Linked DNA regions of Schizosaccharomyces pombe. The gene in region 2 interacts genetically with the main gene of each other region. Each region holds a gene or a part of one and is shown on either strand. Other genes may lie near its edges.

Region 1 (9,781 bases), on a different chromosome or scaffold from region 2:
GTACATATATAGATAATAAATTATTTTCATTAGTTACATAGATACACTCGCATTAATCGTTAAATAGGAGAAACTTTATATGAGAAGGCGTTGAAACAATGTTGATTCAAATAAATAAAAAGAAGTAAGAATTTTAGACAGTTTATGGAATAATATAAGCAGGTATTCCGTATATCACAGGAGCTGCTCCGTTCAAATAGCGTAGATGACAGCATGAACGACTTTCGCTGACCGCTGTGCATATACTCGTTGAATTCACAAAAGGTGCCTTATTTTCAAAGAGTCCCCAGCTTTCAAGCATCTTCAAACTGAACCTATCGATGTCTTTATCGGTGACATCCCATAAGTTTGCAACTAACGTTGGACACCCAGCACTCAAATAATCCAAAGGAGTCCCCCATGGCTCAAATGAGCCACATTCATACAAAGCACCAGAACTACAACCCATCAGTATAGTGACTGCACACCTTTTTAGAGTGGCCAGGTCATAAGATGTTGTATATTGCTCTCCTCCTCCATGTCCGAAATATAGAAAAAAATCATTACCTGAAAGCATTTTAATAAAATCTCTATTAGAAGGTTGACTAGCAATTAATCCCTTCCACCCACCTTCAACTAGTTTATGTTCAAACATTTCTTGAGTATGCTTAAGGTCCAAACTAGGATTTAGTATATATGAACCTGCTTCTTTACGCACTTCAACATACTCTCCATTAACGACAAATGATTGGGACAAGATGTCCCGCAGAATTGATAATGAAGGCACACGTGATACCGATTGTCGGTTTAGGCATGGTAAAGATTCCCACGGAAATTGGTGAACTGATTTATCCAGTACAAGGACCGTATGACTCCTGTTCTCTTCAGAGACATAATTGTTGAAGTAGGCATTTAGAGCATCCTGAAGATCCATAGATAGTTGATCAGTATCAATCTCGTCGTATGCAAAATGAAGACCTCGGAATTGAAAAATGTCCAAAATAAAATAAATCAAATCCTCTAAAAGCTGTTCGTAACCTTCATACCCAGGTTTTCCTAAGGTGATGAATAGTTCTAGGATCTCAGGCGACAGTGTAGGGACAGGTGTTTTCTTGTCCATGTTAAAATTTTTAGCTATAATGTTTTGAAATTGACTGGAAAACTTGGCAAACAAAGAAGTATCAATTTTATGTGGATTGAAAATACCTTTAAATCCACCGAGCCATGATATTTCAATATTTTCTAAAAGTTGTTGCAAGCATTGATCAAGGTGTCTTCTTTCTTTCCACCAAGTTTCTTTGTCTTCTCTTCTAGTATAATGTTTACCGTTCTGAGCCATCTGATTACTTTTAGAGATAATTCGAAATAGCTCGGTTTGAGCTTTTGTAAACACAAGGATTTCTTCGTCTGCGTCACGTGAATTATGTCTTTGCAATGGTAAACGAAAAATCAGCGGAGAATGACCTTTGCGTATTTTTGAGATGAACAAATCCTCTCCAGAATTGTTAATAGTAATAGAAACGACATTCCAGATCGACGGTAATGAATCAATAAAATTGTCTTGAAATGTACGGACATCAGGTATAGATAACCGACTATTTAAAATTTGTTCCAAACTACTAAAATGAAGTTCTTTGTGCTGGTTTCTGAATTTCTGTGCTTCACGACGTCTATGGAATCCTAGAGCTTTAGGGATCTCTAAAAAAAATGAGGCTGAACTAGAATCGACGTCGGTCGTTTCGCCAATTGTGGTTAATGCACTTTGCATAATTGTTGAGTACGATATCAATTCATTGACCTCCCTGCAAACGCATACAGAGCTCCGCTCATATGCATTAGAAAATATAATTTCACAGCTTAATCTAACATTCTGCAAATTGATTTTAAGCCTCTCACGTAAATAATCTAAGCGCTTGGATCCCTTGCGAAATCCTGTATTTTCTCCAAGCGCTTTTGTTTTACTTTGATTTTTCTGAAATTTATGAGAAATTCCAGGTAATGAAATTACAGAATCGGGAAGAGTACGTAGGACGGGATCGCCAAATAGTGTGGAATCAGCTTCACAAACAATAAGCTTTGATTTTAAAATATTAGCTGAGACTATGTTGAAAAAACTTGCAATTGAGCATTTTGTCGAGTCAGTCATTAAAGCCTTTGCAATCTCCAAGTTTCCTCTTTTCAACTCAAACATAGAAATCAGACGAAGTAAATTGGCTGCCGTATTTTGAAGAATTGACCAGTCATCAAATTCAGTAGTATTAGATTCTGTAACAAAAGTTGGTTGACTTGAAAGACTGAGTCTTTTAATTCCTTTTGTAAGAGACTTCTCGCGGTTCCTATTAAAAAAAAGGTAATATTCTGACTTTATTATTTCTAAAAGTTTTACACATTCTGAATAGTGACATATGGCACCATCCAACTCGGATTTTGTTGCGCATACTTCAGCTGCTCCGTAATTCCATAAAAGTTTATGGTATGTATCTGTGCTTTTCATCGCCTCAGTAAGATCAAATAAAATCTTCTCGCCCTTCTCTAACTTTCCTGCCCTTGTTAGTAGTGAGCATAAGCGCAATTGGAAGGTAGCTGAAAAACAAGAAAACGGCATCTTTTCAGAAATACTGCAAGCTTGTCGATAAAAAAATTCGGCTTCTCGCGCCTGTCCCATGTGCTCATAAATCCTTGCAGCGCAAACGTTAGAGTGAGCACTGACAGCGAAAAGTCGCCAAGTAATATATTTTCCGCCGTTGAAATGCTCCTTTGAGCTTTTAGAAAACAATCCCTTAATAACCTTTAAATTTTGCATTATAAAGCCAAGAGAAACAGTGGTGTAGCCTAGTTGAAATAGGGCATCACTTAGCTGTATCCTTTCATAAAGCAAAAGATTGAGGCTAACAGTCCGACTTAAACCATTTGAATTGAAATCCTCTTCAGAAGAAAGAGAATATTTTTTTAACTGTAAAATTCTGAGCTCGTTAGTAACTATCTCACAAAGTCTTCATACCCTTTATCCGTATTTCCGGTTAAAATCAAATATTTACCATAAGAAACATTCCAAAAGTTTATAAAAGGACTGCTTTTACATTGACGAAGATAGCTATAACACTTGGTATAAAACAAGTGAGCTTTCCCTGAGAAGCCAAGCGTCATATATTTATCACTAAGCAAAGTACCAATGATGACCAGATACTTGGAAAATTGAAGATGAAGAAGACAATTGAAAAGTTCGTAAAATATCTCAAGGAAAGCCAACTCGAATGTTAGTTTTCCACTCGGCTCCACCGTATGTAAAAAACAAACTATAAACAATTAGAAACGCCGGTTACGATTGAAAACTTACAAAAAAAATTCAAAATTGAGTTAATTTCAAAATCTGTGAAGGAGCAACGAGAAATGACCGAAGAAAATCGAGATATAAAAATAGTCCACGACTCAATTATTGTAAGTATCCTACTATCGTCTTCCGCACGTCTGTAACATAGCAAATTTTCCCATGAGCATAATAGCGACTCGTTTAAAGCTAATTTCGCATTATTGTTGGAATTATGCTCTAGGAGATTTTGGTCACCTTTAATAACGCAAAGAACCATTTCCTCAAATTTAATGTCATTATACCCATGGTTTGCCAAAACGCAAGAAACACTAAATGTCAGCAAATAAGAAAATTGTAGAAATACTTACTTTGTTTTAAGCAAAAGGACCTCCTCTTTTTCATGTAACATAAGAGATAATTTAAAAGATAAAGCAGCAGATGCATTATATCGAGAACCTTCATTTGCACATTTAAAAAAAAGTTTGAGCAAGGAATAGCTTATTGATTCAAGCAATTTTTCTATATTTGAATCATTTATAGAAGTTAAAGAGTTGAATATACGTTTTAAAATGTTATCCAATACACTAGATTTTCCAACAGATGTAGTTCCAACATAGAGATCCAGTTGATTGAATGTAGTATGGAGTACATCACATTTTTCTTGCAACTGTAAAGAATCGTGGTACCGAAGTTGAAAATTTTTTAAAATTTTCAGGAGATATGTTTCATCATTAGTCAATTTATGTGATACAGCAATTTTGATACTCAAACTTATGCATTCACGTGCATAATTAACATTAGAAGATTTTACACACAAGTTGTAAAGATGATTGGAAAGCTTTTGAGGAAATTCAGCATCTTCATAGTAGGCTGCGAGATTTAAACAGCCTTCCAGAGAACTTTGAAATTTAGTCAACTCACTAAATGACCTAATTATATGAAATGTAAACATCAAAAACTTTCTTATTTTAAGTTGGAGATTTAAAAGCTCATCCTCGACAAGGATATCCCTCACAACCGATGAGAGTATCCACGATAAAATTTCTGATATGTTCAAAGCAAATACAGTATCATCAAAAACCGTCGAGTCATTGAAAAGTCGAAATGATCGCTCTATTGAATCCAATAAATGTAGAGCTTCTGAATATGGTAAAGCATTTTCGACAAAGAGCTGCTGAAGTGACGACAACTCTTGGATTAAATTGAACGGAAAACAAATGCTATTATCGTGAATTGATAATCGAAAAGAAAATAATAAAAATTTTAATTTAAAACTGATGTCTTCAAATGACAAAGAATAGCCTCTAATGACATATGCAGCGCTTAATTGGAAATCATTATATTTATAATAAAGTTGAGAAAGTTGAAGCAAAATATGCAACCTCGATTCTTTTGATAAATTTTCCAGAAGATGATGAAGTTGTGTCATATCTTTATTTAAAATAGATCCTTCAATATCTTCGCTTTTACATAATTGGACAACTTTTGAGAAAAGTTGGAGGATTCTCGTTTCAAGCTGATTTACATCAAACTCTTTATCGTCAGCTCTCTGGGAAGAAAGAATATTCAACCATAAAGCTATAGAGAGGATTAAAAGTTTGAACGATTGTAAGGCGTTATTTTGTATCATGGAAAATCTTGTCAACAAACGAGCTAAAATTTCTCTTCTCGAATTGGCCAATTGAACCTGGGAAGGAAAGCTTCTTTCAATCCATTGAAAAGGGCCATCTTCGCTTTGTAAGTTATTGATTGTATTCAAAGACAAACCGTTAATTTGACTTAAAGATAAACATCGTAATACATTGAGCTGAAATGTGACAACGATAGTGCCTATATTTAAGAAATAAGAGGCAGGAACCATAGGAACAAAAAGGCAGCTTTCTAATTGGATTTCTGAAACATCTAAAGTGGGATTAAGAAGGGTAGCAGTAGGGATGGCATCGTGGTCCCGATATGTCAGTAAAATTATAAGGTTTTTATGAGTTTTCATCAAAAGACTGATAGCTGGTTCAAAAATCTCCATGTCCAGGAGCCGATTACAAATTGAAACCCCGCTACGGATGCAATCATACAAATGACTTGTATTTTTGGTTACCACCTGCATTTGTTCGAGAATATATGTACAGCATTCTAACAGGTAGAAAACCTCGGGACGGTGAGCCGTATTTAATCTAGAAGGTGTACAAAACATCCTTCTAGTTTTCTCCTTATCTGTAGTGGATAGCTCCGCCCATTGCTTAGCTAAGTTACTGACTGCACATTTGAAAGCCACAAACAAATGCTCGAACGTCCACGAAGGTGCATCACGAGATATATTTTGCTTGAGGTCCTTTAATTTTACAGAAGCCTTGAGTCGCTTAACGAGAGTAATAGAGCAATGCTCAGGATAACTGAGAGCTGAAATGAACTTCTCTGGAGTCCAAGAAACTTTACTAGTAACGATTGACCTTGTAGACATAATGGAAACGAATGAATAGTAAAAAATATTAACCAGCAACAGTTACAACAATAAAAGGGATTTAAATTATTTAACGCCGTTCATGAAGAATAGGTTGCAAGAAATAACTAAGCCAATAGCAAATATCGACCAAAATATAAGATTTAATAATTTGACAGTGATTTTCAGTTCGCAAAGTTATATTACTAATTATTGAGAAGAGGAAAATATTAGTGACTTAAAAATCATGTAGATGTTTTATTATATGCTTATGAAAAGTAGATTAATCGATCTTCCCAACCAATAGAATATTATCAGCATTAATTAGAACATTGCAATAGTCGAAATTTGGAGCTGTTGGTTTTTATTTCGTCTAAAACGAAAAAACTGTCAAGTCGTCTCGCTGGATGAAGATAGGCTAGTTGGTAGCAAGGATGCTTTGGATGTTAAGGCAAATGAAAACACAGTACTTACCACCAAATCCCTAAAACTGGTCCAAAAGAAAGAAAACTGTAAAGAAGAAAATTAAATATAATTAAAAATGAATGTAAATAATTGATAGTTTACAGTTATTATCTACAGTCCATTACTTCATCGCAACCTACTATTTGTAAATTTCAATAATGTAAATAAATATATCAATAAATAAATAAACCGATTAAGACTCAAAACCATACAAATCTGTAACAGGAAAAAAAACATATAATTTCTGATAAACTCATTTTATCAATGCTACATCAATTTTTGTTATAAACTAATGATTTTGAAGGAAATATGAAATTTCCCAATTTTTTGAATTTTTTAAAAAAAACTTCTACATTTTCCCTATTTAAATTTCAACCCAACATTTAGTTTTATTTTAATAAGGGGCCCTACTATAATTTAATTAAAAAATTATAAACATCCCGAAATTGGGATGAAACTTCTAAAAAAAAAGTAAGTGAAAGTTTTTAAAACCGAATTGAAAATCAAAAAAGAATTTTAAAAAGTATCTAATTGAAAAAGTTTTACTATGCAAAACTTTTATTTATTTATTTTTTTTTTCTAGCGTTCATTGCCTCGCAATCCTGTGTTGACATTAAAACAATTTCATAGACAGTTCATTTTTGAGTAGGACAAAAGAAATAGTAATTTAGATAGGATTTCGACATCAAAACGCTCACAGACACTGTGGAACCTTTCCAAATTTCAGTTATTCATAAATCCTGCAAATTCCCAATTTAGCGTGGTACACAATGGTATGTTAATAGACACGAACTCGACATATGCTACTTCCTAGCAAGTTGCTTTGAGCTCTGCGCAGGTAATTATATGAATCACGGTCATTTGTAGATTTATATTTGGATTCTAATTAATTTCTTCAAGCTAGAGTATTGGAGAATTTAACCATGTCTGCCACTAATGGGCCGCAACCGCAGGATCTGAACAGAATTGTTCTGGATTACCTTGCGAAGAAGGGATACTCAAGGACCGAGGCGATGCTTCGTTTGGAAGCATCGGGTTCTGGCGTGTCAGTAGAGGAGAAGTTAAAAAGCATTGAGGAAACTCCAGATGCATACACACACACGTATACGATCTTACGAGACTGGGTGGATAGTTCGTTAGAATTGTACAAAGCTGAACTTCACAGGATATTATTTCCTATATTTGTTCACTCATATCTTAATCTCTTGTCTCAAGATCATTATGAAGCTGGTAAGTTGGTCATATTGGAGGAGGTTACGAATTTGTTACATGTTTGTTTCGATGATCTACGAACAAGAGGGGTATTTGAACTATTCTAAATACTTATTAGTTTCTTTATCTATTGAGTTTACAACTTGTCTTTATTTCTGAAACTCATTCCACTTGACCACCCATATTTAATTCTTTATAAGGATAAATGATAATTTTACTAACGTGCTATAGCAAAGCAATTTTACGAACTCTTCAAAGACGATCATACTGATCTTCATGACTTTGATGTAAAAAACTTAAAATCGCTGAGTCTTCCAAGCCATGTCGCAGAAGACCGCACTGCTCAACAATACCGGCAAAATAAATATCAACTCCATTTTTCTAGGATAACATTTGATTTATTGCTTCATTTCTTATTTGAAAACGTTTCAAACGGTGGGTCAATTATCATTAAATTAATCAATCAGCATATAGATATCCATATCGTTCCCGGACGTCCCACCGTCTTGGAAAATGCTAAAGTTATCAATGAACAAGAAGGTATTACCGGCCAATCCTTTGAACGAGGAGATGCTCAACTTCAACCTGTAAAGCTGCAACAAATGCCAATGGACAAAGAAATGGAAAAAATTGTAGAGATGGACTTAGAAGAAGAGGATATGATGCACCAAAACGATCCAAATAACCAATCTCCAAAACTATTAAAAGAATTTAGAAAGCTGCATGAACCTAATGCTGAAGATGCTCCGTCTAGAGATTATATCCCTCTTCCTCCTCATAAAGGTGTTGATATTCTTTCAGAAGTTGAGGCTGTGAAAGATTGGAGTAAAAGATTACATCTTGGACCTAGAGCCTCCCTTCCTAGTGTTTGTATGTACACATTCCATCACACCAATAACAACATGAACTGTGCTGAATTTTCTCCTGACTCCACAATGATCGCCTGTGGTTTTCAAGAAAGTTATATACGGCTATGGTCAATAAAGGCTGACAAAAAATCATTACCTAAGTCAACTTCTGTAGAGGATTCAGATGGCTCAGTACGTTTACTGAGTCATTCTGGTCCTGTTTACGGCACCACATTTTCTCCCGATAATAAATATTTACTATCTTGTTCCGAAGATGCTAGCGCCCGGCTGTGGTCTGTTGACACAAAAACTGCTTTGGTAGCTTACAAGGGACATACTGGCCCGGTTTGGGATGTTGCCTTTGGTCCGTTTGGTCATTACTTCGCTACTGCTTCTCATGACCAGACTGCACAACTTTGGAGCTGTGATCATATATACCCACTTAGAGTTTTTGCTGGGCATTTAAGTGATGTAGACGTATGATTATTATCTTTTTTAAGAAATGTGTTTCCTTATGACTGACTTGTATTTAGTGCGTTACCTTTCATCCAAACTCCGCTTATGTGCTAACTGGATCAAGCGATAAAACATGCAGGCTTTGGGATGTACATAGAGGACATTCTGTTCGTGTTTTTAATGGACATACCCAACCGGTAACTGCTGTTGCGATTGCCCCAGATGGTCATACTATGGCAAGTGCTGGTATGTTATACATTTGTTATTACTAATGATTTTACTAATTTGATTAAAGACAGTGAAGGTCTAATTCACCTTTGGGACATAGGAACAGGAAGGCGTATAAAGACAATGCGAGGTCACAGAGGCAACATATACTCTTTGTCATTTTCTCGCGAATCCACGGTCCTCGTTAGCGGAGGGTCAGATTGTACTGTGAGAGCTTGGGACGTTTTCAAAACTAATTACAACAATCCTGTTTCTTCTTCTCTAACGGGAAGTGTTGTTACACCTTTCTCTGCTAAAACATCCACATTTAATGAAGTCAATTGGTCTACAAGGTATGAGAAAATGTAATGGAATCGATATATTTACTAACCTTCTCAAACAGTCCGGATCAAATGGTAGCTCTTTATACGAAGCAAACCCCTATATTTAATGTCTCCTTTACGCGTCGTAACCTTTGCTTAGCAATAAGCGTTAGTTAGATAAATAAACCTTTTTTGATCTTCAATATGTTTCTTCCCGTCCATACTTTAAGAAATTTGGCATTATATAAAAAAAGATTATAAAAAATTTAATTTAAATATTAAACATTATCTTACTTTACGATAATGAGTCAACAACTAACTGCCTTTTAACAACTTTGAGACATCCATGTATCGGAATCGAAATTAGGCTGAATAATTCATATTTGATGTTCCGGAAAAGCTTTTAATATTATAAACTTCATAAAGGACTTCTGATGATACATTATATATTAAATTTTTCAGTAGCTCCAATATTTACATAGACCATAACAGCGCTAAACATAAGCTAAAATAATTTCATGTTTGGACCCTAAATTATATTATT
Region 2 (8,498 bases):
AAAGAAAAAATCCGCTAGTACATGTTTTTTCGTCAAAAGTATATTTCTTGAAAATTGCAATACGCGTTTAGCAATATGCTGAAGCGTTATTTTCGATGTGACAGCTGTTGGGTAAGCGGAATGTAGAATGAATTGAAATAGTGTAGAGCTATATCAACCACTTCCACTGCTTGCACGAACATGCAGGTTATATGAGCTGAATAAATAAGTGTAAAATTTTATCTAATAATATAAAACAATGAATTTCCTAAACACATATCCAAATGTGTATGTACTCGCTGTTAATTTATTCAGCTTTTTTTACAGTAGATAAAGTTGTAGCCTGGAGATCGAAGTATGAATTTAACAGAAAGTATAAACTTTTTTGGATATTATTTAGAAAGTGTTTTGCAAAGTTTTTATAAATTATAATATTATTAAAAACCTATATTCCAAACCACTAAGGGAAAATATTTTAGCTAAATTACAATTTACACACTTTCAATAGTATGTACCAGGGCTTTTTTTTTTTTTTTTTTTTTTTTTTTTTTTTTAGGACAAATTATATGTACTTTGCTAAAATTTAAAAGTTAAATAGTAGATTATTAGCAACTTCTTTTTTGCTAAGTCCATAGACTATATAACAATACAGCTCTCAATCAGATATGCAGTTCCAACTTTTTTTAATGTTATTATATTCTGTTAAATATGGTAAACAATGTCCAATTGAAGAATGCCTGCTCAATAGAAATAAACTCACCAATCTGATTTATAGTTTTGAGTCCTCCATATTCATAGTGTAATGCCAAGAAACAATTAAGATTATTAATGTGCATAAATTTCTTAGAATTCCAAATTTAAGCAAATTTGGATTAATTTTCCAAGTTACATTGATCGAAGGATCGACTAACGTTGATGTTGTTACTTGTACTTTTGGACTACAGCTAAAGTGAAGTTTACTAAAGAAAATTTCTTAGCAAGGGCGAGCAACCACCATTGTAGGTCAGATACTACTTTTTACAGCAAGGAACCCGAAAAAATGTCAGTTAACCCAAAGGTATGTTAATAATGGTATAAGACTTCTTCTTTGGCTACGAAATAGCTGAAAGCATGCTAGTTTCAAATGCTAGTTTCGTCGGCAATTTTATTACGGAAAATGAACTTTTCCGAAATTTATATTCGTTTTATTGCATACTAACATTGTTAGGCCTTTCCTTTAGCCGATTCTGGCTTAACCCAACAAATTCTCGACTTGGTACAACAGGCCTCTCATTACAAGCAGCTTCGCAAAGGTGCAAATGAGGCTACCAAAACCTTGAACCGTGGTATTAGTGAATTTATAGTAATGGCGGCTGATACCGAGCCCATAGAGATTTTATTGCATCTGCCATTGCTTTGTGAGGACAAGAATGTGCCTTATGTTTTTGTTCCTAGCAAGGCTGCTTTGGGACGTGCTTGTGGTGTAAGTAGACCGGTGATTTCAGCCAGCATTACTACCAATGAGGCTAGTGATTTACTTCCTCAAATTCAAGCTATTAAATTGGCAATAGAGAAATTGCTCATCTAAACTTTTGGATTTTGGGAACAGTTTTCTTTTAATCGAGAATAAAATTTGATTCTTATGGAAGCAGATTGTTATCGAATTTTTTATTTTGTTATTGTAATTTTGTACTGTTTCGCTTTCTATATAATTTCAAGTACTCTGTTTGTAGTCATTTTAATTTTTATTAATTAGCTCGCAAAATACTCAACAAGAAAGATAGTTGAGTGTTTACATATAAGAGCATTACGATTTTAATAAAGATAGTGTATATTTGGTGTTTGATATATATATTTTTTAATATATTTTTCGTGTATGATTCGAAAAGTATCTTCACTAAGCTTGCTTCCAACTTGATTCTGAAATTTTTTCTCTCTAAAGCGTTACAGCTTGTCCACTAAAATAAAAAAAGATATTTGTATTCATTAATAAACTTTACTGTTATCCCATGAGTATCTATTAAAACAAATCCAAATTTATCTAAATTGCGATACGAGCTAGGCTCGCTATTTTCCTTTATTACTTGCTTCTCGTTTGTGTTTACTATCCAAGCGCAATATGCCTACTAAGACTAAGAAAAGGTCCGTTCTTGAGGCTGAACGGAAAAAGATTGGGTAAAAAATTTCTATAGCAAGATGTTTTTACTAACATTTGGTTAATAGACTCGATCATGCTCCCAAGGAGGATGAAAGTGTAGATGACAACTTCCCAAAGCAATTCAAGCGATTGCTACAGCAAAAAGAGTACCATGAATCTAAAAAGAAGGAAATAAAGAAAGGCAACCTTAAAAATAAGAAAAAAAAAGATTATGGGAAAATTCAAAGATTACCCGGTGAACGCCTTAGTGAATTTAGTCAGCGCGTAAATAAGGCTATTCCAGTATCTTTTAAGTCTGGGCCGAGCAAAATAGACGAATTTACTGATAAAAAAGAAAAGAAAAAAATAGCGAAAAGAAAAGAGAAGCGTGAAAGAGACTGGAATGAAATTGAGGAAAATTTTGAAGATAAAACATGGGAGGCGGATACTACTGGGTATGTGTATATCACCAATTTCATTTCGTATAAACTAACATATTAGACAATTTATCCAAATTGAGTCTAGAAAAAAACGAAAAAATTCGCCTGATCCGTGGGCTAATTTACAAACAAAACCTTCCTTTGGAGAAACTGTGCAAGCTCCTCCTGAACTTCCGGAATTAAAAATTAAAGAGACAAAGTACTTGGAAAATGTTCCCAAAGTTAATAATATGGGTCAAACAGAATCTATGGCACGACGCCAAGCTCTAGGAAAGCAGCGTTTGGAACTTATAGAGAAATATAGAGAATTAATGAAAACCAAGCGGAAATAATCTTTTTAATAATGAAAAAAGAATTTATTTCTAATGCTGACTTAAAAATAATTAATTACTTTAAATATACAGCAGGCATTAAATCTAAATTTAATTAATTCAAAAACTCATCCACAATAGCAGATAATTTCGGTCCATAGTGCCCTCTTAGTTCACAAAACTGTTGTGAAAATTCTGGTGTTATCGTATTTGACAATGAAACAACTATTAATAATTTACTAGTCAAATCGCAACATACATGTTCCAATAGCCTTCTATTAAGTGGATTTTTGTCCAAAGAAATTTGTGTATGTGGAGAACTTGCTTGAGTCAAACGCTTGAAGGGGAATTGACCAACTTTGGCATATGTGTATAACCATCCCTCAAGTATTTTTAAAAGAGCATCTAAAAATTGAGGTTTTAAAAAGTTATGCTCCTCAGATACACGATTGTCATCGTTGTAATGTGATGCTTTAACACCTTCTTTCATTATCACTGTTTCCAGAAAAGTTCGGGCTGCCTGGTCAAGTTAGTTTCTTAAATCAAATAATAAGTTGATTTTGTATACCTGAAGTTGCAAAATTTTAGAGCTGTCATTATTCATAATATTAATCAAACAATTAAAAACTTTAGTCTCATCATCCTTCTTTTTTTCCTCATCAGCAGGGTTATCCTTCCTTAGAAAGAACCAAAACAATAGACTCTGTAAAGTATTAATTGCAGAAAACTTCAATGTATCTTCATAGCTATTAGGAACCCGCGAAAGAAGCGAAACAAGCCTTTCATATATTATGTCAAACTCAGGATAGTCAGAAAAATCTTTGAGAGAGGTACATCCCTCGATTCTTGTTAAACAAGCTTCAAAAATAACAAATTCATCTTTTGTTATTACAGCATCTTGAATATTAAAAGATCCAAAATTCTTTAAAAATTCGGTTACCGTCTGGTCGCAAATGTCAGTAACCAGAAGCTTCAAATCTTCTTTCAAAGCAGGAATAGAGTCCAACCGTAAAAATAATATCGTGCAACCTTGAATAATTTGAAGATCATTATTGGTTAGGAAAAATTTTTTTAAATTATTAATTAGAAGTTCAAAATGTCTGGAAAGTTGAGGGTCTGTCATTTCTGTCAAATCCATTGAGAATAACAAACGAAGAGAATCATGAAGAAGTGTTGGTGAAGCAGAATTTCTCTCAGTTATTGAATTAATGTAAGGAAGAAGATTCAAATAAAGTAAGTCCTTATCTTTATTTTGATCGTTGGTCGTTTCCGCCGCTTGCTTATTATGCACCGTTTTAGGTGTGATAAAATTGTTATTACAGACAGTTTGGATTGAAGCAGAGAGAAGCTGTAAAAGAATAGATTCCTGAAAATCATTTAGCTTGCAGAAAGAAAGTATACTGTCTATCGGATCTTTTAGAGTCGAGGTATAATTATCAAAAAGTACGAAGTTGCTAATATCCTCCCATGACTGATAGATTGAATCAATTTCACATGCATTAAGTAAAGCTTGTGTTATAGGAGTAATGAAATTACCATTTTTTTGGAAGATTCGTAATAATGTATCATAATCAAAGCTCGATTGGTAAGACAATCTAACCTCCTCCAAAAGTTTACACATTTGGGAAAATTTTATCCAATGAACTGAAAATGTAGTAAGTGAAGTCTGAGAAAAGGCCTTTAGAATATAGTCTTCTTCACCCCATAAATCAATTTTTTCATTCACACTTTCGTCAACCACTTTGCATAAAAACAGTACGGCTTCACGTTGCACCCTTGGATTGATATCTAAAATTAGCTTCAGCACTTTTAAAATTTCAGAATTTTCTAAAAATCCGCAAGTCCTCATAGCGTTACACAAACGAATGCTGGCTACACGAACTCCAATATCGGCGTCCACACAACTCATCTCGAGTATTCTTTCTTTAAATCTAGAAGAAAAATGTCTTAATCCACCAATAAATGAATCTGTCTCAAAAAATTTGCGCAAAACTTTAACTACAGTTAATCTGACGGTAGTGTTTATGTCTGAAAGCATCCATCCTAGGTATCTTAAATAACTTCCTGAAAAAAATATGCTTGGAACAGTATTAATCCAGACCCCAAGCTCTTGTAAGCAATCTACCCTTATTTTAGGCTCCACGTCTCGATATCGATGGACGAAGACACTAATATAAAGGTTAGTATAAATAAATTAAAGCGTTTGAGGGATCTTTACCTATCAAAGTAGTCATTTAAGTATGTAGTCAATGTATCTTGTTGCTTGACTATTTCACCAAGACTGTTATTAAGTTCGTTGATGCGATTTCTATTTACACGAGAGCGCTTTTCTTCTTTCTCGAGCTGTTTGGTAGCAATTGCATGCTCGTTCAATAGTTCTTTAGATTTTTCACATAAAAAAGTCATAATATTCAAACAGAAAACAGTGGCGGTGTGCCGAATAGGTCTCATCGTAGAAGAAGACATGGCAACGACCCAAGACATAATATCTTCAAAAACAGTGCTATTGTACAAGTAATTTCTTATTGACAACTGTGACACAAAGTTGCTTAAAAGACCGGTCAATCTCTTTCTGAAATTCCTAAACTTAAGATTTTTTGAATTTAAAGGATAATCACGAGTAGAAGTCTTAAAGTTGTTAATATACAAATAAAGTATTTTCGCAAAAGCACTTACACGCTCTACAGAAAGTTGAATTTGAGATAGAGTAGCTGAAGCAGAATCTTGATCCTGAACATCAAACACATTAATGGCACGATTGCAACCACAGCACTAAAATATTTAGTAAAGAAAGAAAAGAATGACTCTACCTTTAAAATAAAGTTAATAAGATTTGCAAGGGCAGATTGATTATCTTTTGCATAGTCAGCAAACCACGAAACCGCGATGTCCATGGTATCAACTTTTTGGTCAAGCAGAAAAGCTTTTCAGTGTTAGTAGCTGAAAAAAAGAAGGACTTTATCATTACCAAATAAGTTGTTAAAAATTTCTTCTTGAGGATCCTCTTCAACTATAGCGTTCCTCCTAGAGCGTTTTACATTTACTCCTTTAGAATTTGGCCGTGGATGCCGTTTTTTTGAGCTTATCGTTTTCTCGTAATCATCATCGCTATTTTCTTCAGAAGATGAATTTGAACTACTGCTCATGGGATCAAAACTTTGAGAAAGCATTACAGGGGAAGATTCTCTGTCTCCTCCATCATCATCAGATCCAGTAGTAACAGACTCACTCATTTGAAGAAAAAAAGAAATAATTTATAAATAAATTAAGAGGTGTAATTAGAAATATTGGAAAGAGTGTAATGAATGCACTATTGGTGTTGTACAATGGAGGTTGTTCACAACCTGTAGTTGATAAAAGCACGAACTTGTCTTGTTCAATAGTGTTAGACAGGATAAATGTGTTTGAAAATCCAAGGATACGAAAGGAAATTTATACTTAACGAAGTTATTACATTAAAATTTTCTTTACCTTGATTGAAACAAATATATACTATTTTCTTTTGGGTCCTGCAAGGTGAACAGCTAACTTATATTCACTCCGCGAGTTGAGATTGTAATTTGACTATACAAGTATAGAATTGTGAGTGAAAGATTCTTTTGACGCGTAATATTTTCGATTATTATTAATAAATGAGATATTTGACAACTTTTCGAGCGCTCATTATATCATAGGCAGAAATACGAAAGTCATCCTTTATGAAAAATTAACAAGTAATTAGAAAACTTTTATCCTTTTTATTTATTCCTCAAGAATTTTAGGCTGTACCCATCTGTAATTGCAAATATGCTTAAACATGACTTTGAAATACGCGTTTTGTTACTTTAACATATTCTGGGTAACGTTTGGTGCATGTGATGGATCACGGACGCGTCGCGTTCACGCGTCACGAAAATCTAATATACTCACGCTACCATCCACTACTTAAATTAAACTGGAACACACGACCTCAAAAGCGGATTAAATTAAGATTCATGATTATACCATGAATATGGACATTGGAAAAGCTTTGAGTGATGTTGGTGGGCTTCGAGATATTACCTCACGTGCAAATAACTCATTACCTCCGACTCCTGATTCTTCTCCCGCAGCACCTTCCAAAAAACATAAGCTTTACGACTTCCTAGAAAGCCGAGGAAAAATTGAAACACCTCGAAAACGCATTGTGTTTGAAAAGAAACCCCTGTTACACAAGCCAGTTCATATTCAAAAAAAACCTGCTCAACTTTGTAAAGAACTTTTAATCAGACAACTGGGAGGTTCCCGGTCGCACCCTTTTAGCACAAAAACTTCTCGTCATGTGGGAGGTAGACTCAATCTCGAAACATATTACTCACGACCTTCGGAATGCTTAATGATGCTGAACCAACTCCCGTTCTGTCTTGGATTTGCTAATAACGAGTCTTTATTGGCCGTATGTACTGAGACTGGAGCTCTTGAGCTGTTTGATTCTCGATTTTACGATAGACAGAATGAGGAAAATCAGCCGTCTGCTCGAAGAATCCATGGCTGGCTTGCTCACAACAATGCTATATTTAGTGTTAATTTCTCTAAAGATGATTCATTATTAGCTACTTCATCTGGCGATCAAACATCAAAGGTATTTGATTTGTCAACGCAACAATGCATCACTCGATTGGGACGACGAGGTGTCGATGGATACCACTCTCATTCAGTAAAGCAGGTTAATTTTTGCAATGATTCTCCTTATAATTTGGTAAGTTGTTCTCGGGATGGTTCCATTATCTTTTGGGATATGCGAACACACGGGATAACAATTGACGGTGAGCATTTTCAGAAACCAGTGTTAAGGATAAGAAAAGCACATGAAAATTCGGGAAGGGATTGCTCAATTACCTCAGCTACGTGGCTCCCTCAATCTACTTCGCAAGTTATATCGTCCTGCTCTGCAAACTCGGCCTTAAAGTTATGGGATTTACGAACTGTACATACCGTCCGACCTTTACCTGCTGCTACTACTCCCGAATTAACTACTTCAAAACGCGATTTTGGTGTTACTAATGTTTGTACTTCTCCTGACGGTGAGCGTATTTATGCTGCTTCCAGAGATAGTATCATTTATGAATATTCATCTCGTCACTTAAACTCCGGATTTTGCAAGACTTACAAAGACCCTAGACTCAGAATTTCTTCATTCTACGTAAAGTTGGCGTGCAGTCCTGACGGAGCAACTTTAGCCTGCGGTGGAGGCGTTCAAGACAAGACTAGTGGTGTTGTTGTTTTTGACACAACAAGAAACTGTTCATCGTCTGCTATGCTCACAGGTGGTCATACTAAGGATGTTACTGCAGTTGATTGGTCTAGTGAAGGTCAATTGGCAAGTATTTCAGACGATGGGAGCGTTCGCGTATGGAATTCTTCTCTGCATGGAAGTGCGGCTAACCTTAGAGAAAAGAATTTTTCGGAGATTTTTTATTGGGGATTTAGTGAAAAATGAAAATTATCACGCATAGCAATGTCTCAATATTCGGCTTGTTTCTCTTGAAAAGAAGACTATAAGTGAGGCTTCATAATATTTTGTCAAAAATAACGACTATTCCCTAATGCATTTGAATATTATTAGGATTCTTTCTTTTTCCATATCTATTTAATCCTTTGATTTGTCATTTTTTTGCTTCCGCTGGATGCTTT
Region 3 (4,640 bases), 2.0 Mb from region 2:
GCATGCATGAGCCACCCTAATATTAATCCAGGATACAATACCTGTCGATTACTTCGAAACACTATTAGCGATTTCCATGAGAGCTTGCTTAGCCTCTATATCGGGGAAAACAGACAATGAGCTCTTGGCATTCTCAACATATGTTTTCAAAATGTCATTATTCTTTTGCAAAACTTGGGCGTCAGGAGATACAGGCTTATGGGCCAGTTGCAGCGATAAGCCTAGAAATTTTCCATAATTGAAACACGCATCATTAATGTATTGTGATGAGTTATTCAATATGCTTGCGCATAAACATGCCTTTGCTGGCATAAAGGCTGATTGCAGAAGGATGGTTCGTTCGTTTGACAAACCAACAGAGCCATTTTGTCGGCTTCCGAAGTGCCCTTCAACTAAGTTTGCAATAACAGAAGCCATAATTTCTGTAATAGCGTTGTTTTCTAAATGTGCTAAATCAACAGACGCCTTTCCGAGTAAATAATCTCCAACCAACGTTGCAAGTTTAATCTGTTCGTTGCTTTGTTCTTCTCCAATATTAATATGAATTATATTGGCAGCATGAATCAATTCTGTTACACGGGCAAGTTGTTTGTACCTTTGAAATAGTTGCTGACTCGGTGGATCCCCATTTACTGATGCTCTAGACATTAGAAGTACAAGAAGCGGATGAAAAAAACGAGTTGAAGATTTTCTGTATGGCTTCGTAATTTCATCTAATAAAGGATTATTATCTGTCCACGTATTAATTTGACCATTTAAAGAATCCATTTCTTCTGTAAGCATTTTTAATAAGTCAGAATGCCAACGGGAATCTCGTGATAAAACCCCTACAGCTTTTAGCAGAATGGAAGACCAGGAACCAGGTTTTTTTAAAGATAATAGAGAGCTTATTGCAGAAGGCCTTTTCAGCAAACTAGCGAACGGAAAGCTCATCCTTCATACAATAAGTGATGATTTCACACTTGAGTAAAAAGATGACAAAGGCCTTGTAGAGGTATAGTAGGGTATCAGTAATTTACAACGCTAATGAAACGAGAGACAAAAAATAGTGGGATGCTTTGATTGCTACTATGTTTTCATTTTTGGAGTTCTTTAACTACGCCTGTGTCTTGTCAGTTTTAGCTAATTATTTCAAAGTCACAGGTTACCTCAGGAAGAGTCAGAATAGTAAGTTCAAGGTAGTAAAAAAACAGAATATACAAGTAGTAAAGGTAGCATTAGTCAAAGTGTGTGTTTCTATTAAATGTTTTACTGAAGTTAATTTGTTATCAACCCGTGAATATATAAGGATTTTTCTATAGATTTTTTTAAGGTAAACACTGTTCAAATGAAGTTTCGAATCAAAGAGTACATTCAACAATAACTACCGATATATGGAGAAAACAATTAGCCAAAAAAACTTAAATATTGTAGGAAATGAAATTGCATTTATTTCTTGCATAACGTAAAGTTGAATCAAGCTGATTTGTTAAACCAACAAGCAAAAGGAGTAGCAGTGAATTTTAAATTCCCCTTGAACGAAGGATTGATCTCACAGCATTCAGCTGAAAGGAACCCCATTCCAAGACATCGTTGCGTAAGTCATTTAAGGCTTTTGCATGTTGAATGCGATGTTGAACAAAGTTATAAGTCGCCTCAAAATTAGGAGAAGTATCACGACTCATAAATAACTCAGATGCAGAGTAAATGGCAGAGATAGCAGCACGTTTCGTGTACCATTGAAAATCGGCTGACTTATCTTGCGCGAGGTAAAGAATCTCATCTGACAGTTCAGCCAGAGAGGATAATGATTTTCGCAAGTTTGAAGGGTATGTACAAATTGCAATCATCTGCGGAAGATGCTGAACAATATCCCTATTTCCTTGCAGACGAGACCAAATAAGCTGGACAACACGTCCAGATGTTTCGGGGATAGTGGTCAAATGAGGCTTTAATGAACTAAGAGCGTAGCGCTGCTTCAGGAAAAAGTACGAAATCAAATCCATTGGACCAGAAGGAAAGAGGGCCTTGGAGAGATTACTATAGCCAAGGGCCTGACCACCTTGCACGATTGCATCTTCCGTGAACCCCAGTTGAGGAACATGTTCAAGAGCATTTTCTAAAATTAAAGCCTTCTTTCCGGATATCTTAGAGGTTTCGTAATTTTCACTATGATAGCCTCTCCTTCCTAGAGCGGAAATGACCGTTTTGGAGATGCATTTATGAAGTCCCAGGTTTTTTGTTGTCAACTGACAAGCACTTCTTAAAGTCAACATGTAAAGAAATAAAAAAAAGAGTCAGAAAAATAAACAAAATAGAAAGAAAGGGTCTTTCACTAAGCAATTCGAAGGAAAGAGATATGGGTAAAGAGGTGTTACGAGTTATTCAAATCAGCGAGTTAGATAAAGTATATAGTAAGATTGGAAGATGACTTCTAAAAATAATTATAATATTTGAAGTATATTAAATTGTGAGAACTGCAAAGTAAACGAACTGATAGAGTGCGTGACGGATGCTACTGTAGAAGGAAAGCGAAATCGCTACTCAATAACTGTGCTACCCACCTGAAAGTACAAAGAGTCGTTCTGACAATAATTTGTGTGACAATAGCAAATAATTTTCAAACAGATAAATTGAAAATAAAAATAGGGTGATATTAAGCTAGACGGTGTGTTTGAGAGGCGGTCTTAATCCTTGCTCGATAAAAACAGAAGATACTTCAAAATACTTGGCTCGTAATGTCGCCTCCACCAGCAGAATCTCATATGTATGTTCCCCGAATGCCAGAAAAGCTTCAAGACACTTATGTACACTATGCAAGGGCTATTCGCTAACTAGATTTTGCTTACAGCATTTTATTAATACAACAAGGAGTATGTCATTAGATTGTAGGATAATTAAAGATTTCACTAACTCCTAATCAGTCGGATCCAAAAACTCGTATATGGAGCGACCATTGCAGCTTGCGTTCTGCTATTGAGTGTATGAATATTATCTTTCGTCCTCCTTGTAGAGGATGCGCTACTTATTGGAAATCATTTGTTAACGTGATATTAGATATAGTCGGTGTTTACCAAACAAATCAAGGTACGTACGATTTTTGTTTTTCTTTTTTGGTTGGAAATTTCAGTGACGATGAACTATGTTTTCCCAAGTCCCGGATTGAAAACTCAGCTTTACCGTATGAAAACTTGCATTAGACTGACGTTTATGTTTAGCAGTCAGCGAAAAGGAATCTATTGATGTCTCAAGGTTTTTCAACTTTTTCGACGAGATCTATGATTGCGTTCCTTTGGTATACGATCGGCATTTTCGTGCATATAGTAAGCAGTTTCTCTCATTTATCAGTTTGATTTTGATACTAATAAATTCTACTATTAGTTCCCCATGAAAAGCAATGGTTGTTACACCATGCTCAAGAATATCTCACAGCTGCTAGACAGATCCCTTAAAAATATCGAACACCATATTATGCTACTCATTGCTATGCTTTAAATTTCAAAATCAAAGAAAAAATAGAACTAAGTTTTTCTAAATTAAAATCTTTATCAATGCACTAGGAATGGCATTTTAGCAGCTGCTTTTCACCTTTGGAATCAGCAACCAATATTCTAAGAGGTTCAAATTCTATTGTATCATGCATTAGCTATATTCTATCTTTAACAATTATTTTTCTATTCTTTTTTTATAAAATTTAATTGTTCTAATAAATGGCATTTGTCTCTTAACTTTTAAACCCAATTGCAAATTTTTTTTTTACTTGTCATGTTTTTTCCTCGTGCAAGACAAAGGACCAATTCCATCCGTTTTGCCAGCCGCTATTGTATTGTTTTGCCCTTTTTTTTAATTTCCAGTGCTGGGAAACTGTAAAACAAACAGCATAGCCACTTCTAAGCCCTCGTTTGAAGTAGTCAAACCGGAAGAAACAAACTTTTGTACTTGCTAGACACTCGATCTTTGCTGACATTTCTTTATATATATATATTTATTTATAGTTTTTTTTTGTATCGCTTTCATCTTCGCCCTCGCTCCTTCCAGTTTTGCTACACATTATAAGGTATATATATCATGTCGGTATACTTGCCGAGCAACGTTCTCGGGTTATAGAAGAATAGCCCTAGTATAGTGGAGCTAAATCACATAATGTTGTGTATTTTGACCCATTTTTGTCACGGAAACCGCTTGGCCAGTTACTTTTTCAATTCGTACCAGGACGAATTAGTCACAATAAAGCGAATGCATATTCATTGTTTCACAAACTAGCAATACAAGATAATTGTCTAGGCATTATAGATTTGCTACCTTGAGTTTTGTGTACTTTGCTTCTCAATTTTACTCTCCAAAGATAAATATCCATTGCTTCTGCAAAGAGTTAGTCAAGTACTTGATGACTGCAAAACAATTAATAACAAGAGCGTGTTTTTATATTTTATACTGTCTGTTTAAGGTTTAATTGAATCCAATAATTCAACTAAGAATAACTTGATCCACATGTTTACCTTTCTTTTTGTTTAATAAATATTATCAGATGTGATTTTCCTGTTTGCTAACTGCAAGCGAAGCTACTTTTTTCATTATATTTCGTTATTAGCGTATAAAGACATTGTAAAGTATTTGCAGCGATATCTAAGGAGGATTGCGAAGGGGCTTAGAACATGATG
Region 4 (6,931 bases), on a different chromosome or scaffold from region 2:
ACGCTCGTTTCTTCATTAAGAACAAATCCGACGGAGATAGAAATGGAAATCCCCTCCCTGGTACAATTATTGAAAAGCATGTTACTCACCCCTATCAGTACGATTTTTACCTTATATCCCACCCATCTCTGCAAGGCGTTTCGGTCCCAGTTCACTACACGGTTTTGCACGACGAAATTCAGATGCCACCGGACCAATTCCAAACACTGTGTTATAATCTTTGTTATGTTTATGCAAGAGCAACAAGTGCTGTTTCCTTGGTTCCACCTGTTTATTATGCGCATTTGGTTAGTAACTTAGCCCGTTATCAAGACGTGACAGCCGATGATACTTTTGTTGAGACATCAGAAGCATCAATGGATCAAGAAGTAAAGCCGCTTTTAGCTCTATCAAGTAAATTGAAAACAAAGATGTGGTATATGTAATGTTTGATGGATTGCATGCAATAAGTAATGAAATAGATATACGATTGACTACTGGATTGCCCACAACTTTTACTTCCTTATTAAATCTGCTTCTGTTTTTATTTTGCTTTATATTATTGTAATTTTCTTTAATCATTTAATGTTAGTTTTTTTATGCTCTATCCACTGTTGATAGCTTGACCATGTTCCAACGATCAACAAATGTTGATAACGATAATACTAATGACATTCACTTAACCCAAAGCCCGAACTTTATGTAAGTGTCACGCCAATATAGAAATACAGATAAACTAAATGATACTTAAGGATCTCAGAAGAAGTGATTAAAATCGATAAATTCCATGCACAATGGTTGAACAACCAATTTACCTATTTGTCTAATTCAGATTCATCTAGCTTTTTTATTAAGAAAAAACATCATTCAAAGCAAAATCATTCAAATTTGAAAACAGCCTGTTTGAAGAGAATCAGAATTTCTAATTTTTTAGAGTATTTGGGTTAAGTTCAAGAACCAAACATTGCATACTGTGTTAAGATTTCGTTTAGAGGAGCAAAAACAAGTCAATAATGATAATTTTACTTAACTGATTTGCTCCAAGATTGAAAATTAACACCATTATAGTGTGCATTTTTTTTATTGTTCAGAAAAACTTTTTAATAATGTTAAATCTTTAATGTTGATGAGCGACCTATACGGAATGCTTTATTAAGCAAATCCACTGCATTTAACATCAATCCGCTCCAATAGTATATAGTTTCATGAATTTTGTTAAAGGAAGCATCCAACATTCTTGAAAATCCAGCAAAAGGGAGATATCAACGGTCTCTTCCAATTCGCTTCATTATAGCATAGTTAATCAACGTACAAAGTCTGCTGCCTTCATCATACATCATTTCCATGCCATCTCTAGCTTCAGACCCATGATCCATGTGGCTAACAATTTCAGAAATTTCAGCAGAAAACAGATTGCAACTAGTTAGGTAAGCAGAAGAAATCTTCAAAAGTACAACACTTACGTTTTAATCCACTTGATGCGAACACCTCCAGCATGCGAGCTATCTGACCAAAAGGGCAGTTCGGTGCTATTTAGGTCGCTGACTACCTGAGCATATCCTAAAGCATTGTACGTTTGCTGAGCCACAAAAATAAAATAAACACTGGCTTTCTGTTAAAGTGTTAGTATAAAACTATATCGTTTAAGGGAAATAAAAGACAAACCTTATATGCATCAGAAATTCTTTTGGAAGAATCTTTCTTGACTGCCCAAATAGAAGTTTTTTTAGCATGAGCAATGGCAGTCTCGTTGTCACATAGCATAATAAAATAACGGGAGCCTAAGTTGTTAGAATTATTTGTTTTGGTTTAATGGGCTAAGCCTTACGGTGTGAAATTCCATTTTCGTCAAGAACAACTCGGGGATTAATCATCGAAATGCGTTCCCCCTTCTCATTTCTATGTTCGCTTGCTCTGGAAAAATTTAATGGAGGAGGCGTAGATGCACGAGCTTTGGGTTTTTCTTTTCTTGAGGCACTATCATTGCTGGAATTAGAAAGCAGGTAAGAAGATTTCTCAGGATAAGCTCCAACTGGCGCGACCGAAGAGGGAAGGGAGTGAGCATAAGGTTCAAGCAAACTAGGGGAGTGAGATGCACGAGTATTAGCAGGTACAAAAGGATACCTTGTTGAACCACTGCTTGCAATACCATGACGAGTGTCTTCATGAGAAAGTTGGGGGGAAGATCGAACAGGATAGGAAGAGTAACCAGCTTGGTATGCTGAAGCGGATGAAGGAACTTCAGAAGCTAAAGTGTAAGGAGGCCTTCTGTATACTTCTTCTTCAACATAACGAGAACTTCCAACAACCACTGGGTCCGCAAGCCGTCTAGGGGGAGGACTAAGTGTGCGTCGCTTGGGAGGAGGTTGTATGCCATGCAAACGAGAACGGCTATCATAGTAAGCAGAGGATTCCGAACCTGCATGATAATAATGTGGAGCATCAGTTGAATAAGAAGAGTAAGGAGGCTGACTTTCTGGATAAGATCCCGAAGTGTGATAAAGCATAGACTCACGACGAAGGGATCGAAAATAAGGCCATTCGTAGGAGTGACCATAGTCAGTGCAATGCCTGCTAAAATCATATTTACCATGTTTAATTAAGCGGGGATCATCTACCATCAATCTTCTACCGATAGGAGCGTCATGTGACTCTGGTGCAGGTCTTTTCAGAGGTGAAGAAAAGTTGTTTGAACCTGAAGTAGATAGAACACTTGACGCAACAGGCTCTCCGGTATGAGTAGTCCATACGCTTCTAGTATCGCCCGATTCGTTCAATGACGGTGGAGCTATATAAGGTGGTTAGTAAAATTCTCGACAAAATTAAACAGTAGGAGGTTTTAGGCGAAAAGTCAGTCAATTTTCAATGACACTATTTTACATTCCTCTCTGATATTTTAAACAATAATCTACTTACGCCACAGGCTTCGCAGAGCTTCCAAATTTGGAAGTTCCGGAATGGACTTTGATGACCTAGAAGTAGAGAAGTTTGTGTTTGACATTCAAATTTCTTTTATGTGTGATAAAAAGTATAATCTTTTTTTTTTGAAATCCTCTTTAAAATGCTAAAAATTTGTAAATTGAGTAACGGAAAATGAGTTGAAGCCAGAAGATTGTGATAAATATTAAATTAAGTTAATAAATATTCACCAAAATCCCTTGCTTTATATTTTTTTTACAAAAAAAAATAAAGAGAGAACCAAAAAAACCCCCCAAAAAACAAAATTGCTGGTCAATACACTAACTGAATTTATATCAACCACTATCGTTTACTTTAAAAGTCTTGCCGAGTAGAGAAATAAAAAAGCAAGAACTAGCAAGATAGATATACTCTTGAAAGAATAGCGGTAAGTCAAGTGAAGACCAAGCCCCAAAAAAAAGAAAAAAAAATATGTTTAGCCCAAAAATCACCAATTATAGCTTTTCACTTTCTTCAAAAGTTAGCTATTTCCCGTCAACTTTCAAAATAATGTTTGAATGTTTAATAAAACACTTTATTATAGGGTTTACTAGTAGCCTCCTTAGTGTTGGATTTCTGGAAGAAGGCAAGGTGCAGATAATCGTGAGAGAGTAATTTGATTACGGGTAATAACGAATACGAAGTACTTTGATAAAACAAATGAATATGAAAACCATCAATTACTGAGTAAATAAAAAAATTTCTATTTTAAAAGAGTTTTACTTTTTAATAAGTATTCCTTGTAAATTCACATTTCTTACAAATTTGTTCGGCAGATTCAAAAAATGCCCCGTGGCACAGAGAGATACTCAAAAGAAAGATTCTTTTTTAAGATTAAAAAAACAAAAAATTGCTCTGAGTGTAAATAGTGAATGGTCAAATGTCGACTAGTCGTTTCCATATTTACCATCAACATTATAAAGTAAATATTTGATTTGTAAATTAAAATACAGTCGACTAAAGTGTGGATAAAATGGCTAATACACAATACCAATGCTTTGACAGACAGAAAAGTAAGAGATCAAACCTACTGTTACCAGGGAAGAAGCGATGTAGCGACAAAGTCGAAATGCTGTTTGTGGTTCTTAAGCAATACGAAATTGTATAATATTATTACTAATATAAAGTAATCATAAAGGGATTCCAACATAAGACAACTAAAAATATATGAGGAGGTAGAAACACTTTACTAGTTTAAGTGGTTCAAGAAGCGTTCATCATTGTTCAGATTACGAGCAAAAGAATTATGGAGAAGGAGCTAAATACTTGAGATCTTCAAATATCTTATGAGTATAGCGATAAAGCTCCTCAACAAAGGCATCATCATGAGCGCGATGAAGAATACCACGCTGAGCAATTGCAGTGAAGTAAGCGCCGTTCAAGTGCTCTTTGGAAATCTCGGGACTGGTTGCAGCATATAAGGAAGTCATGGCGCCTCTGATTGGATCCAAAAGTAAATACTGGAAGACTGATTTCTCTAACAATTTGAGAGCAAAGGTAGGTGAGTAACGAGTCAGCTCGGTACGGATAACACCTGGGTGTAGACTAACGGAATATATTCCATATTTTTCTAAACGTTTGGCTAAAGCAATGGAATAAAGGATCTGGGCATACTTAGATTGTCCATAACGAGCAAAAGTACCCAAAAGTACATGCGGGAGATTTAGGTCAGGGAAGTAGATACCAGAATAAGGGGCCTGCAAATATGCAATGCTTGCGACGTGAACTATTCTAACATCGCCAGGTCGACATTCTTCTGCAGTACGACGGAGTGTGGGGAGCAAGAGCTCAGTGAACAAGTAATGTGAAAGGTAGTTGGTTTGAATCTGAAGTTCATAACCATCTTTAGTCAATTCAAAGGGAGGGTTCATGATACCAGCATTATTGACCAATATGTGTAATTTCTCTTCTTTGGCAATGAAAGACTCAGCTGCTTGGTACACGCTTTCGAAGTCTAACAAATCCAAACGAAGAAAACGGATCTTGGAATGTCTAACTTCATCGTGGATCTGTTTCATAACTTTTTGATACTTTTCCTCGTTCCTACCAGCCAGATAGACCTTTGCGCCTTTTCTAGCCAACTCGAGGGCAGTTACATAACCAATGCCACCTGAAGATCCTGTGACAAGAGCGACTTTACCCGTAAGATCGGGAATATCGTTAAAGGTCCATTTGGGTGTATTGAGACCGGTGTACTCTTTGAGAGTATTTACAATTGCGCTCTCATTCACGCGGTTGAGCAATCCCTGAAAACTGTAGGACATCGTAAAGAAATTTTTGAAGCTAATATCAATTAAAAAAAAAGAACTTTATAAACAATGAGCGGGGAGGATTTTATTGCAAAGAAGTGGCCAGAGAACAAACTTATTACCAATGTCTTTAACTCGAAACTGTAGCGATTATGAAATCAATCGATCAAGTTTGGAACAGATTCAAGAATAAATCAACAATTTTCTTTTAATAAGCGTTCTTAAGTTCTAGAAAACACTTAAATATCGTTCTCGTCGAATATGTTGAATATGGGTAAGGGTGGCTGCAGATGATAAGTTGCAAAGAGTGACGATAGCGGAAGAGGAAGCAATTCGTAATTTATACAATGACCGCTGACAAATTTCTTCAAAATCCAAGAAACTCAAGGCGTAACACGGCTTCTTTGCGGACCGAAAATTTGATCAAGCATGGTATTACATCGACTAGCTACTTTTGACTACTTGGCTTACAAAACGAAATATGGATTGTTTAGAATTGAATGTATGAATTGGGTGCTCGACAGAATATTGGAATCCTTTTAAAAATGTATAACTTGAACTTATTGTAATTGAAGAACTCGAATTCAGATTGGGCAAATGAAAGATAAAATTAGACTTAGGTATGAATAGAAACGAAAACTTAAAAATCTGCAATCTATAGGATTCCCTTCTTTAAACGAGTTAAACGTCATGTTTTATTCAGTAAGAGTCTTAGAAATTCATTTTTTCACTTATACTAGATCACAAGCATCTTACAGAGCCACCCAATAGCACATTAATCGGTTTCAAAAAGCAACTTGCATAAGGCTTAATATATCGGTGAACATTCCATTTGGGTGCTCATCTTCTGTTAGCATCATTTTGGTACGGTTTAAGATAAAGTTATTTATTTAAAGAATTAAATTACTCTAAAAACTTAAAATTATTGATGGTTTCCTCTTTTTCTCTGCTTTATTTACATTTTGCTCTAATAGTGTAATCTTGCGCTCGTTCATATTCAACAATACGATGGTCTAACGAATTGTGCTAACTCTACGGTGCTGGCTGTGTGAGTGAAACATTGTCGTCCGTAAAGTTAGTCGTCTCTATTTACACATGTACAACTCCAATTTCAGAGCCATACTCATTACTGTTTAGAATCCCGTCCGTTTCATTCGTTTTCATTTTTCTATTTGTCTATAAAATTCATTCTTTTACATAACTATTCATGCTCTGCTGGTTGTAAACATACGAGTCGTTAATTTATATTTGTTTATGTAAATGGAGTTGGACGATTTTAATAGCCGCATTCTCAGTCAAATTTTTGATAAGGTAAGCTTTTTACAAATTAATGGAGATAGAAGCTTGCTGTCCAGAAAAATGTAACTGGAATGAAAAGCAAACAAATGGAAATATCGTTGCAACGGCATTAAGGGCACTGTTGATCAATTCCATTGTATTTTACGATTTCAATTAGTTTTACTCATTGCTTTGTGTTTCCGTCACTACTCTTTTCATACCTGTTCTCCCTAGTATTGATGGATCTCACTTCTGTAGTGGGTTATTTTAAGTTTTTAGGTTTCTAACTGATTTATTTAGTCTTGGAAAGTTCGATTTGAAGCATATGAGTCTTTGTTGCATGCATTGAACCGAGCATTGGATGATTCAGACGTTTGTTTCCAGCCTTGGATTCATGACCCAGCATTATGGAAACAAGGGCTGTGTGATAGTAACGTACCAACACAAGAGCATGCCGTAAAATCTCT

The links.
Region 1: of psc3 (region 2) and cut1, extra expression of one is lethal in a mutant of the other (dosage lethality), as found in Schizosaccharomyces pombe (one study listed by BioGRID).
Region 3: of psc3 (region 2) and erh1, a mutation in one rescues a mutant of the other (synthetic rescue), as found in Schizosaccharomyces pombe (one study listed by BioGRID).
Region 4: of psc3 (region 2) and mmi1, a mutation in one rescues a mutant of the other (synthetic rescue), as found in Schizosaccharomyces pombe (2 studies listed by BioGRID, with this or other methods).

What each region holds. Positions count from the first base shown.
Region 1 is NC_003421.2:639,778-649,558, reverse strand, and holds the start of cut1 (separase/separin), read right to left. Parts: upstream 6,151-9,781; 5' UTR 5,748-6,150; coding exon 3,658-5,747; exon of another isoform or gene 3,619-3,657; coding exon 3,317-3,618; intron 3,276-3,316; coding exon 2,981-3,275; intron 2,943-2,980; coding exon 143-2,942; 3' UTR 1-142. Other genes in the region: taf5 (transcription initiation factor TFIID subunit 5), read left to right, coding at 7,115-7,421, 7,635-8,728, 8,785-8,953, 9,003-9,267, 9,318-9,414. UniProt on the Schizosaccharomyces pombe protein: Caspase-like protease, which plays a central role in the chromosome segregation by cleaving the rad21 subunit of the cohesin complex at the onset of anaphase. During most of the cell cycle, it is inactivated by securin/cut2 protein.
Region 2 is NC_003424.3:2,033,984-2,042,481, reverse strand, and holds psc3 (mitotic cohesin complex non-SMC subunit Psc3), read right to left. Parts: upstream 6,188-8,498; 5' UTR 6,080-6,187; coding exon 5,815-6,079; intron 5,770-5,814; coding exon 5,657-5,769; intron 5,619-5,656; coding exon 5,523-5,618; intron 5,475-5,522; coding exon 5,065-5,474; intron 5,015-5,064; coding exon 3,415-5,014; intron 3,367-3,414; coding exon 2,962-3,366; 3' UTR 2,868-2,961; coding exon of another isoform or gene 2,597-2,867; 3' UTR 2,551-2,596; coding exon of another isoform or gene 2,182-2,550; 3' UTR 2,134-2,181; coding exon of another isoform or gene 2,078-2,133; 3' UTR 1,938-2,077; downstream 1-1,937. Other genes in the region: U3 snoRNP-associated protein Snu13, read left to right, coding at 1,019-1,036, 1,187-1,546; SPOM_SPAC607.02C (uncharacterized protein), read left to right, coding at 2,078-2,133, 2,182-2,550, 2,597-2,867; WD repeat protein Cdt2, read left to right, coding at 6,832-8,304.
Region 3 is NC_003424.3:4,065,049-4,069,688, reverse strand, and holds erh1 (protein erh1), read left to right. Parts: upstream 1-2,717; coding exon 2,718-2,746; intron 2,747-2,830; coding exon 2,831-2,852; intron 2,853-2,870; exon of another isoform or gene 2,871-2,903; coding exon 2,904-2,961; exon of another isoform or gene 2,962-3,036; coding exon 3,037-3,066; exon of another isoform or gene 3,067-3,197; coding exon 3,198-3,302; exon of another isoform or gene 3,303-3,360; coding exon 3,361-3,431; downstream 3,432-4,640. Other genes in the region: decaprenyl diphosphate synthase subunit 2 Dlp1, read right to left, coding at 49-933; ubiquinone biosynthesis protein Coq9, read right to left, coding at 1,503-2,255.
Region 4 is NC_003421.2:336,588-343,518, forward strand, and holds mmi1 (YTH family RNA-binding protein Mmi1), read right to left. Parts: upstream 3,526-6,931; 5' UTR 2,981-3,525; coding exon 2,896-2,980; exon of another isoform or gene 2,768-2,895; coding exon 1,808-2,767; exon of another isoform or gene 1,761-1,807; coding exon 1,645-1,760; intron 1,592-1,644; coding exon 1,443-1,591; exon of another isoform or gene 1,399-1,442; coding exon 1,242-1,398; 3' UTR 501-1,241; downstream 1-500. Other genes in the region: ago1 (argonaute), read left to right, coding at 1-425; SPOM_SPCC736.13 (dehydrogenase), read right to left, coding at 4,182-5,201; TOG/XMAP215 microtubule plus end tracking polymerase Dis1, read left to right, coding at 6,447-6,497, 6,765-6,931. UniProt on the Schizosaccharomyces pombe protein: RNA-binding protein that recognizes and binds N6-methyladenosine (m6A)-containing RNAs, a modification present at internal sites of mRNAs and some non-coding RNAs.